Linked DNA regions of Saccharomyces cerevisiae S288C. The gene in region 1 interacts genetically with each later gene. Each region holds a gene or a part of one and is shown in the gene's direction. Other genes may lie near its edges. The genes, in order: CHM7, BIO2 and YPS6.

Region 1 (3,760 bases):
TTTCAGGTGGAGAATATATACAAATGTCTGGTCGTGCAGGTCGTCGTGGTTTAGATGATCGTGGTATTGTTATTATGATGATTGATGAAAAAATGGAACCTCAAGTTGCTAAAGGAATGGTTAAGGGCCAAGCAGATAGGCTAGACTCGGCTTTTCACTTAGGATATAATATGATTTTGAACTTAATGAGAGTTGAAGGTATCTCTCCGGAGTTTATGTTGGAGCATTCTTTCTTCCAATTTCAAAACGTTATTTCAGTACCAGTTATGGAAAAGAAACTTGCTGAACTGAAAAAAGACTTTGATGGCATCGAAGTCGAAGATGAAGAAAATGTTAAAGAATACCATGAGATTGAGCAGGCTATCAAAGGTTACCGTGAAGATGTTCGTCAAGTTGTCACCCATCCGGCAAACGCCTTAAGTTTCCTACAACCAGGCAGATTAGTTGAAATCTCTGTCAATGGTAAGGATAACTATGGCTGGGGTGCTGTTGTCGATTTTGCTAAAAGAATTAACAAACGCAACCCAAGTGCTGTCTATACAGACCATGAATCCTATATTGTCAATGTGGTCGTCAATACCATGTATATAGACTCTCCAGTCAACTTGTTGAAACCTTTCAACCCTACCTTACCAGAAGGGATTCGCCCAGCGGAAGAAGGTGAAAAAAGCATATGTGCTGTTATTCCCATAACTTTGGATTCAATCAAGTCGATTGGTAATTTGAGACTATATATGCCCAAAGATATTAGAGCCAGCGGTCAAAAAGAAACTGTTGGGAAGTCTTTAAGGGAGGTTAATCGGAGGTTCCCGGATGGTATTCCCGTGCTGGATCCTGTTAAAAACATGAAGATCGAAGATGAGGACTTTTTAAAGCTAATGAAGAAGATTGACGTTTTAAACACAAAGTTATCCTCCAATCCCTTAACCAATTCCATGAGACTAGAAGAACTATATGGTAAATATAGTAGAAAACACGATTTACATGAAGATATGAAACAATTGAAACGCAAAATTTCAGAATCACAAGCCGTAATCCAACTGGACGATCTTCGTCGCCGTAAAAGAGTTTTGCGCCGTTTAGGATTTTGTACTCCTAATGACATTATTGAACTGAAAGGTAGAGTTGCATGTGAAATATCTAGTGGTGATGAACTGTTACTAACAGAATTGATCTTCAATGGTAATTTCAATGAGTTGAAACCGGAACAAGCAGCAGCATTATTATCATGCTTTGCATTCCAAGAACGCTGTAAAGAAGCGCCTAGATTGAAACCAGAGCTTGCCGAACCTTTGAAGGCTATGAGAGAAATTGCAGCAAAGATCGCTAAGATAATGAAGGATTCTAAAATTGAAGTTGTAGAAAAGGACTACGTTGAAAGCTTCAGACATGAACTAATGGAAGTTGTTTACGAATGGTGTAGAGGAGCTACTTTTACGCAAATCTGTAAAATGACCGACGTTTACGAAGGTTCGTTGATCAGAATGTTCAAGAGATTAGAGGAATTGGTGAAGGAGCTGGTAGACGTCGCCAATACCATTGGTAACTCTTCACTTAAGGAGAAGATGGAAGCTGTCTTGAAATTAATTCATAGAGATATCGTATCTGCTGGTTCTTTGTATTTATAGTTAATCACACACAATTATGTATTTTTATTGGTATATATAATAAACAAATAGATTTCATCAACATTTATTATATAATAACATTTTTGTTTGGGCAAGCACACTATTGATACACCCATACAACTCAATGAAGTGCAGCGTTAGTAGAGACAATAAGAGGAGTTTTAAATTCTTAAACTATATCTGGCAAAACACCACCAAAGCCAGCCAAATAGTATCTCACTGTATCTGAATGAAAGTAGATTTACCAGAATCCAGACTACCATCTTTATATAGAGATTTTAGGCCATTGAAAGATTTAAATCCCGATGGGTACGAAGCAAACATCAGTACATGGAGGGATTTCTTCTTGCAACAATACATCAGCAACTCCAACAGAATCATATTTACTATAGGGACAAGGACTTTGCAAGAATTAACTCATGAAGTTTATGGCGTACCGAAAAGCATTGATATAGCAATTGACGTTCTTGTTAATGAAGGAAATTTGATACCTATGGAATTATTCAATCTTGGTGGAATGTACACTGACAACAGTAGAAAAGGATTTTGGAAGTGGGTTAGAAGTTGGAAGGAGTCTACAAACATGTATAAAAGCCGGAAGGATGAAACAAATTTCTACTTGAGAGAAGACAAATTTATTATCAAAGCAAATTTGGAAAAAGAGTATCAAAGGTTTCATGAATTACTCAAAAGAAGTGTTTTTATGGAGGCTTCATCTATTACAGATTTAGTATTCACAAGGAATGAATTTGTGACCACAGAAAGTTTGCAGTCGTTCTTTTCAACCTATGATGAAGAAACGAAAAACGTGTTCCTGCACTTTATAGAGAATTATAAGCACATAATAGTTTCAAAAGACAATGTTATCAAAGTCATTGCCGCTGAAGTAGAAGACATTACTAGCAGGTTCTCCAAAGGCATCACAGAAAATGACCTTCGAATTGCTAGTGTTAAAGTGGGTATTATAAACATCAACAAACAAATTACAAGGCTAAGAAAAGAAATTAATGAATCTAACATTAAACTGAGAGGACCAGAGTTTAATGAGCTGCCGAAGAGAATAAGGATTGAATATAAACAGGCGAGATTACTATCTGAAAAACATCTTTCTAGGTTACTAAAGTTTCAAAATAACCTCGCTCAAGTAAGAACTCAAATAGACACCAGTGCTACTAATGCGGTTTTAATTCAAACTTTAAGTGAATCCAACGAAGTAATTAAGTCAATTAATGGATATATTGGTTCTACCGAAAAAGTAGAAGACTTACTAGATGAGATTAAAGAGGGTCATGACCGTACCGAAGAGGTCAATGATTTATTAGCTCATTATAATAAAGGTCAAGACGAAGAAGCAGAAGAAGAAATTGAAAGAGAATTAGAACAATTAGAACTTGATGAAAAGAATAATAATAAGGAAGAAAATAAGAACCAGGATTTGCACGAGCCAAAAGAAAGCAGTAGCGAGGATCTATTAAAGAGATTGAATAATCTGAAGATAAATACAAATGAAGGACCTGTGCAAGATAATGAAAACCACGATAATGAGATAAGAAAAATCATGATGGAAGAACAACCACGTTGACGAACTGAGTGACTAATAAATAAATATATATGTATAAATAAAAAATAAATATGAATATTTTAATAGACGGAAGAAAGAAAATATGTGTGAATAACCAAATAGGAAATAAACAAAAGCACATTTAATTGTTGCCGTTATTATTAGAGTAACCTAATGTACGAACTTTGGTATTAGATGCAGAATTATTGGAAGACAAGTTTAGTTCAGACACGTTTTGTCGCAATTGAGAAGTACCATTAGAAGGATACATCCTTGGGGTAGTATATGCTGAAGGAGTCATTGAATCACCACCACCTCCTCCTCCCCCGTCCGACACCATGTCTAAGCTAGATAATTTTTGTAAAGAGTAGTTGGCGCTGTTTGACACATTTGTGCCCAACCTCTGGTAACCAAGACGGGAGGAGGAAGCATCTACTTCCGGTTCTTTCGCCCAAAAAGATGTCAAACCTGAGTAAACCTTGTGTAGAAGAGAAGATTGTTCCATGTAGTCGAATGTTTTGTTATTGGCTTCCAGCGGTTCTAAGATGAGAGTCGATCTGGGCAACAGATC
Region 2 (3,714 bases), on another chromosome or scaffold:
AAATGGGGACATAAGGGGTCAGAAAGGAAAACGAATACATCTAACCCTATAGCTGATTGCTTCAATTTATTGGTTAGGAGAATAAAAAACTCTTTCTTTTGTCAAGCAGAACGAGAGAGGAACGCAAACCGAATGCAGGAGACTCGAAGAAAGATGCTTTCTTGACTTATATTTTTATAATTATTGGAATTGACGCTTGATCTAGTAAAGAATGAGATGGTGGCCGTATTCTGCTGACCTAAATTTAATATTTATTCTAAAAGGTCTGTTAATTTTGTACAAATCCTTGGCGAGAAGGAGAGGTGGCAAAATATTTGTGAAAATGGGAACCAATTTAATCAAATAGATGTAGCTTCTAGAAAGCCATTTTTAATGAGTTATATAGGGTCGTTGATTAGGTATCGTATCACAATGTCACAGTCTCAATGGAAAATACATCAACCATCACTCCTTCCAGTGGTAGGGAATGCTCTGCTAACATGCCTCAATTATGTGGCAACATCCTTCAAACATAGGTCATTTTCCTGCACAGTCAGCATTGTTCCCAAGGTTGTTTAACAGTGAACGGAAGAAATTTTTATCATAAAAGTCTCTAAATAAGGAACTAAGTGTGCAGAAGATGGGAATGTGTGGCTCAGTTTAATCTTCAATTCAACGTCGGATAGTACTTATTAAGGATAGCCATCTTTCTTAGTAGCCTACTCTTCTGATTCGTTTTAGTTAAGAGTGTGGAAATACTTGAATTATAGCATACAAATGGAAATGGTTAAATAGCTATACGCTCTTTCAAGTCATTGTTCTTGCTTCTGCCTTTTCCGTACAAATGTGACTATAATAGTTGCACTAGTTTAGCTTTCTCATCAGTACGAAAAATATTAAATCTCAATTAATTACTTTAGAAGGATATGATGTGGTCAATGCATCTGATCTTCTACTGACGCATTTAGGGCTTATGTGACCTAGTTATTCATTGCGAAAGCAGAACGTACTACCATTTACGAATCTGAACTTCGAATAACAACAGCAAGAGGCTCTAGGATGAAGTCTTCCCGGAAACCATTACTCCAAAGTAGGTAGCTGTGGAAAGCAGCTTCCAGATAATAGTAAATGGATAACCGTTTCTAAGCGACCTTATTTCAGTCTTGAAAATACTTACCCATTTTGCATCGATTGGGAACTGAGAACCTACAAGCCGTAAGATTGCGTAGCTTTCTCTTGGGGTCCGTGAGATCCGTATTCTGCATTATTACTGCATCTCCAACGAAACTACCTCATTGTGTGAAACTACTATTTCTTGCAAGAAGTTATGACTGCGATGCAAATTACAAAATATACAATTGTAAAACGGCTTAATAGAAAGACATTAGTAGCCCTTGGTCATTACCTTCATATTCAAATAAGCTAATGATCAAATAAAAAAGCCCAACGATATTGCCTGTTGCATCTAAAATTTTCCAAGTCAAACGAGTTCATATTATATACTATGTATGGAATATATATATATAATTTTTCATTTTATTTTCAAAAAATGCCACTGCGCAAATCTCTGTCCATCAGTACTGTTCTTTACAATTTTATCGTGGGAAGTTGCGGAGGGGCGTGTTGGCTAGCAAAAGATAGTCATGTCGAGATGACTCGCGGATGAAGTCTCGCGTCTTCTTCGAAGCCATTTTGCCGGCATTTGGTTATGGAAAAAAGTTGTTGAAAAGTGCAAAGCATTAGAACCGTCCCTGTCACGCTGGTGCCCCCACAGATTTCACGTGAGAGACGATGCCTGAGGAAAATCCGCTACGCTGCTGCCTAATCTGTATTTACAGGCTATGTAGTTCGTTTGCCACTCTGCTAGATTCTCTTGGTATCTTTTATTTCTTCTCTTAGGCAGATCTTATATAAAAGGGCAAAGCTTTTTTTGCTCCCATACTTGCTGAAAATTTTTCAGATCTTACTCTTCTGGTAGTGGTGTCCTCAGAAGAGCTAACTTAGCCGATTATTTTCAATTTAGTGCAGTATGATGTCTACTATCTACCGTCATTTATCTACCGCTAGACCGGCTTTAACTAAATACGCAACCAATGCCGCAGTTAAATCGACAACTGCATCCTCAGAAGCTAGTACTCTGGGTGCTCTACAATATGCATTGTCTTTAGATGAACCAAGTCATTCGTGGACAAAATCGCAATTAAAAGAAATTTATCATACCCCACTGCTCGAACTTACTCATGCAGCACAATTGCAGCACAGAAAGTGGCACGATCCAACCAAAGTGCAATTGTGCACATTGATGAACATCAAATCTGGTGGTTGTTCTGAGGACTGTAAGTATTGTGCGCAGTCTTCGAGAAACGATACCGGTCTAAAGGCTGAGAAAATGGTTAAAGTGGATGAAGTGATTAAAGAGGCAGAAGAGGCCAAAAGAAACGGATCTACTAGATTCTGCCTAGGTGCTGCATGGAGAGACATGAAAGGTCGTAAATCAGCCATGAAAAGAATTCAGGAAATGGTGACCAAAGTGAATGATATGGGGCTAGAAACGTGTGTTACTTTAGGTATGGTTGATCAAGATCAAGCAAAGCAATTGAAAGATGCAGGTTTGACTGCATACAACCATAACATCGACACTTCCAGAGAACACTATAGTAAGGTCATCACCACGAGAACCTACGACGACAGGTTACAGACCATCAAGAATGTCCAAGAATCTGGAATAAAAGCCTGTACCGGTGGTATTTTGGGTCTCGGTGAAAGCGAAGACGACCATATAGGATTCATCTACACATTATCCAATATGTCTCCTCATCCTGAGTCCCTACCAATTAATAGACTAGTTGCTATCAAAGGGACTCCAATGGCTGAGGAACTTGCCGATCCAAAGAGTAAAAAGTTGCAATTCGACGAAATTTTGAGAACCATTGCCACAGCGAGAATAGTTATGCCAAAGGCCATTATAAGACTTGCCGCTGGTCGTTATACAATGAAAGAAACAGAGCAATTTGTCTGTTTCATGGCAGGTTGTAACAGTATCTTCACCGGTAAGAAAATGCTGACGACAATGTGTAACGGTTGGGACGAAGACAAGGCAATGTTGGCTAAATGGGGATTGCAACCTATGGAGGCATTTAAGTACGACAGATCTTGAAGATAGGGATATGTGGATAATTCTACGATTCTAACTGTACATTTCTCCCTTATTTATTAAGAAAACCTATATATATATATATTTACCTATTTATTCTGCCATCGTTAGCTGGCGTTTTATCTTTTATGCATCCAATATCTAATATTACTTCCGATCACGCATTTAGTTCTGATTACAGCAGAAATCGTAGCGCGATGAGACATTTCATCAAATGGCCTTTTTTTTTTGGGCAATTTTTTTATATCTTGAAATGATAGTTGCCTTGTACTTTCAACCGTTCATTTCATTAAGAACTTGACTAAATATGAACATTTCTTAAAAAAAAGGTTGACATATAAAAATAATCGAATATAAACGATGGAATTTTTATAAAATTAAACACATATATATATATATATTAACTATAAATATGTCAAAGAAACCATACAATCATAGATTTATAACTATCTTTTGGATGACATTAATGAACATAACGCTCCTAATACAAATGTCCAAAAAATATTACCCGCAAATACGAATCTTTTTTTTTTCTCGATGAAATTTTGCAAAGAGTTCGAAATTTTTATTTCAAGAGCTGG
Region 3 (3,760 bases), on another chromosome or scaffold:
GTGGTGAAGTCACCATAGTTGAAAACAGCTTCAGCAATTTCAACTGGGTAGGTCTCACTTGGATGAGCTGCTTGAAACAAGTAGTATTGGGCCAAATGAGCTCTGATATCGGAGACGTAAACACCCAATTCGACCAAGTTAACTCTTTCGTCAGATGGAGATAGAGTGGTAGTGGCTGGGGCAGCGGCAACACCAGCAGCGATGGCGGCGACACCAGCAGCGATTGAAGTTAATTTGACCATTATATTTGTTTTGTTTTTTAGTGCTGATATAAGCTTAACAGGAAAGAAAGGAATAAAAACATATTCTCAAAGACATACAGTTGAAGCAGCTCTATTTATACCCATGCCTTCATCAGTCATCACTACTTAAACGATTCGTTAACAGGTGCTCATTTAGCACCTCACATATCCTCCATATCTCATCTTTCACACAATCTCATTATCTCTATGGAGATGACCTTGTTTCTGAACGAATCATACATCTTTCATAGACTTCGTATGTGGAGTATTGTTTTATGGCACTCATGTGTATTCGTATGCGCAGAATGTGGGAATGCCAATTATAGGGTGCCGAGGTGCCTTATAAAACCCTTTTCTGTGCCTGTGACATTTCCTTTTTCGGTCAAAAAGAATATCCGAATTTTAGATTTGGACCCTCGTACAGAAGCTTATTGTCTAAGCCCATATTCAGTCTGCTCTAAACGGCTTCCATGCAAGAAATATTTCTATCTCTTGAATTCGTACAACATTAAACGTGTGTTGGGAGTCGTATACTGTTAGGGTCTGCAAATATGTAAACTCTCGGCGAAGGCCTTGGTGCAATTACGTAATTGTAGCCGCTGAGAGGCGGATGGTATTGAGAGAAGTTGATATTCAAAGAATTGATTATGATAAAAAAAAAAAATTGTAACCAATCCGTAAATACTGAAACTCTTTGCAGTAAGAAATCTTTCATCCCCAGAGAGAACGCGGAAATATTCAGCCTAAGTCTCTCCAAATTGATTTCTTTCATTTTGGTAGCGAAAGACTTAGTATCAACCTCAAAAAGTTGAAATTTTTGTAGATATATGTGCGGATGACATGAAGTATCCAGCTCCTTTGTGAATATGGAAGCAAGTTTCTTTCAAATTATTATCGACTTTTCCTCTGCCCCTTTTACCTTATAACTTTAGGAAACACTACCCTATCCATACTCAACTAAAAAAGTAGTACGTTTTCTTCTTTGAGAGGTATGGTGCAAACCAGTGCAATCTGATTCCAGATTGCCCTCACGTGAGGCTTCAGTAAATCTCGATCCCTCTACATATTACATTATCTCCTACTTGGCAAAATAGATGTGGCTTTAGTTGATGAAAATTTACCACGTCAACTATTTATGTCCTTTCTACAATAAACCCCGACCTACTATCCTCTATGTTGTTTTTAACATACCATACGAGCGTCATATGTCTTTTGGTTCACTGGGGAAGACCATCACTGTTGAACGTTTGTTGAAAAGTTCGAGATGATGAAGATTGCATAACAAAATGTAAAGTTATTTTTAGAAACTATAACGGTTCAAGACATTCAACACTATAACATAGCTTGGCTGGCTTGAACATAAAGAGGAAGAAGCAAAAGCAAGAGTAAAAAGCTTCTCATTTATTTCTGGCATTGTTGATCACCCAGTGCAAGCCCAATTTCGCCTGTGCTTTTCTTAAATTGTTTCTGACAACACCGAGGTTTTCGCTGCAGAAAAGGAACATATGGTGGTAATTTGTATAAGGGGTTAAGGGTCCAAAAATTTGCTACCCTGTCGCTCACTACAGCAAAATATCTCGAGATATCCGAGGAGTTAAAACTGACTAGACCTGTTGCGTAAACCTCATGCAAGCAGTACTCTTCGAGGATTTAAGCTTTGGAACTGCTTTCAAAGTTGAGAGTATATAAGGTGTTATGATCTTGGAATAGGGTTTTTCATCGTTCTTCCTTGTTCTCTTTTTTCATTGGTTGATCAGTTGTTAAATTTTGTCTCTTTCGAAAATAAGGATATTTGAAGACAACGCAAAGCTATCAATATGCAATTGATTTCCATCCTCTCTTTGTTGTCATCATTGATGTGTTCATTGACCGTTTTAGGGTCTTCCGCAAGTTCCTATGTTAAGTTTCCTGTTCAAAAGTTGGCTGATATTATAAATATATGCACACAGGATGTTTCTACCGTCTTCAAAAGAAATGAGGTTCTTAACACCACAGTGATAAATGGAATAGGAGTGTATGTTGTCAAGATGGAAATCGGAACGCCTCCACAAACGTTGTACCTACAGTTAGATACTGGCTCTTCAGATATGATTGTGAATAATGCTGACATTGCCTATTGCAAATCGATGTCTGACGGATCTGACTACGCTTCAACTGATAATTACGAGCTCACAGCAACGTTCAATGGGCTTCCTTCGACTACCATCTCATCAGAAGCTTATAACACTCTCTGCTCTTATTGGGGTACATTCGATGCAAGCAACTCATCTACTTTTGAGAATAATGCGACGTTTTTCAATAACACATACGGAGATGGTACGTATTATGCAGGGACTTATGGTACGGATGTTGTCTCTTTCGAAAATATTACTCTAAATGATTTCACTTTTGGTGTATCAAATGATACAATAGGCAATCCAAGTGGCATTTTAGGCATATCGCTTCCCATTGCAGAATTTACAGATGGTATCGAATACGCATTGGCATTGAACAGAACACCTTTCATATATGATAACTTTCCAATGGAATTAAAAAATCAGGGAAAGATTAATAAAATAGCGTATTCTTTATTTTTGAATGGACCTGATGCACACTTCGGGAGCATCTTGTTTGGTGCAGTGGACAAAAGTAAGTACACAGGACAGCTTTACACCCTGCCTATGCTGCAGGCATTCAATACCCTTGGCTCAAATCCTGGGATGATTATTACTGCACAAAGTGTGGCAATTTTGGATAGTGAATCTGGCAATAAAACTGTTTCGGATATTCAATTTCCAGTGATGTTGGATTCTGGCACAACTTTCTCCTATTTACCCACCGAAATTGCAGAAGCAATCGGCAAAAGTTTTGACGGAGAGTACAGCTCTGACGACCAAGGCTACATCTTTGATTGTTCAAAAGTGAACGATACTTTACTGTCCGTCGACTTTGGAGGATTTAATATATCGGCAAACATATCCAATTTCGTAACATCAGCTAAGGATCGTTGCGTTTTAAATGTTAAGCAATCCGAGTCCACTTATATGCTGGGAGATGCTTTCCTTGTCGACGCATATGTAGTCTACGATTTAGAAAACTACGAAATTTCTATTGCTCAGGCTAGCTTTAATAATCAAGAAGAAGATATTGAGGTTATCTCCGATACTGTCCCAGGTGCCACCCCTGCTCCCGGATACTTTAGTACATGGGTATATAAGCCCGGTAGTCCCATCGGAACAGGAGATTTTATTAATGTCAGCTGGACCTCGTATTCGGAATTTTCACAGTACAAATCATTGCTTGCCACCGCAGCCCAAAGCGATGATGCTAGTTCTTTCTCAAGTAGTGGCGGCTCTAGCGAAAGCACCACTAAAAAACAAAATGCAGGTTACAAATACCGTTCTTCTTTCTCCTTTTCATTATTGTCCTTCATATCTTATTTTCTTTTATAAGTAGAGAAGAGATACATAGTTTCGCAGTGTGTTACTGTGTGGGACTGTATAGGTGAAGCCCTATATACTGTGTAAAAGGCGATGAAA

Evidence for each region.
Region 2: mutations in CHM7 (region 1) and BIO2 together harm fitness more than expected from each alone (negative genetic interaction), as found in Saccharomyces cerevisiae (2 studies listed by BioGRID).
Region 3: mutations in CHM7 (region 1) and YPS6 together harm fitness more than expected from each alone (negative genetic interaction), as found in Saccharomyces cerevisiae (one large-scale study listed by BioGRID).

What each region holds. Positions count from the first base shown.
Region 1 is NC_001142.9:344,116-347,875, forward strand, and holds CHM7 (phosphatidic acid-binding protein CHM7), read left to right. Parts: upstream 1-1,857; coding exon 1,858-3,210; downstream 3,211-3,760. Other genes in the region: ATP-dependent RNA helicase MTR4, read left to right, coding at 1-1,628; UBX6 (Ubx6p), read right to left, coding at 3,332-3,760.
Region 2 is NC_001139.9:1,063,235-1,066,948, reverse strand, and holds BIO2 (biotin synthase), read left to right. Parts: upstream 1-2,008; coding exon 2,009-3,136; downstream 3,137-3,714.
Region 3 is NC_001141.2:430,411-434,170, reverse strand, and holds YPS6 (aspartyl protease), read left to right. Parts: upstream 1-2,059; coding exon 2,060-3,673; downstream 3,674-3,760. Other genes in the region: seripauperin PAU15, read right to left, coding at 1-242.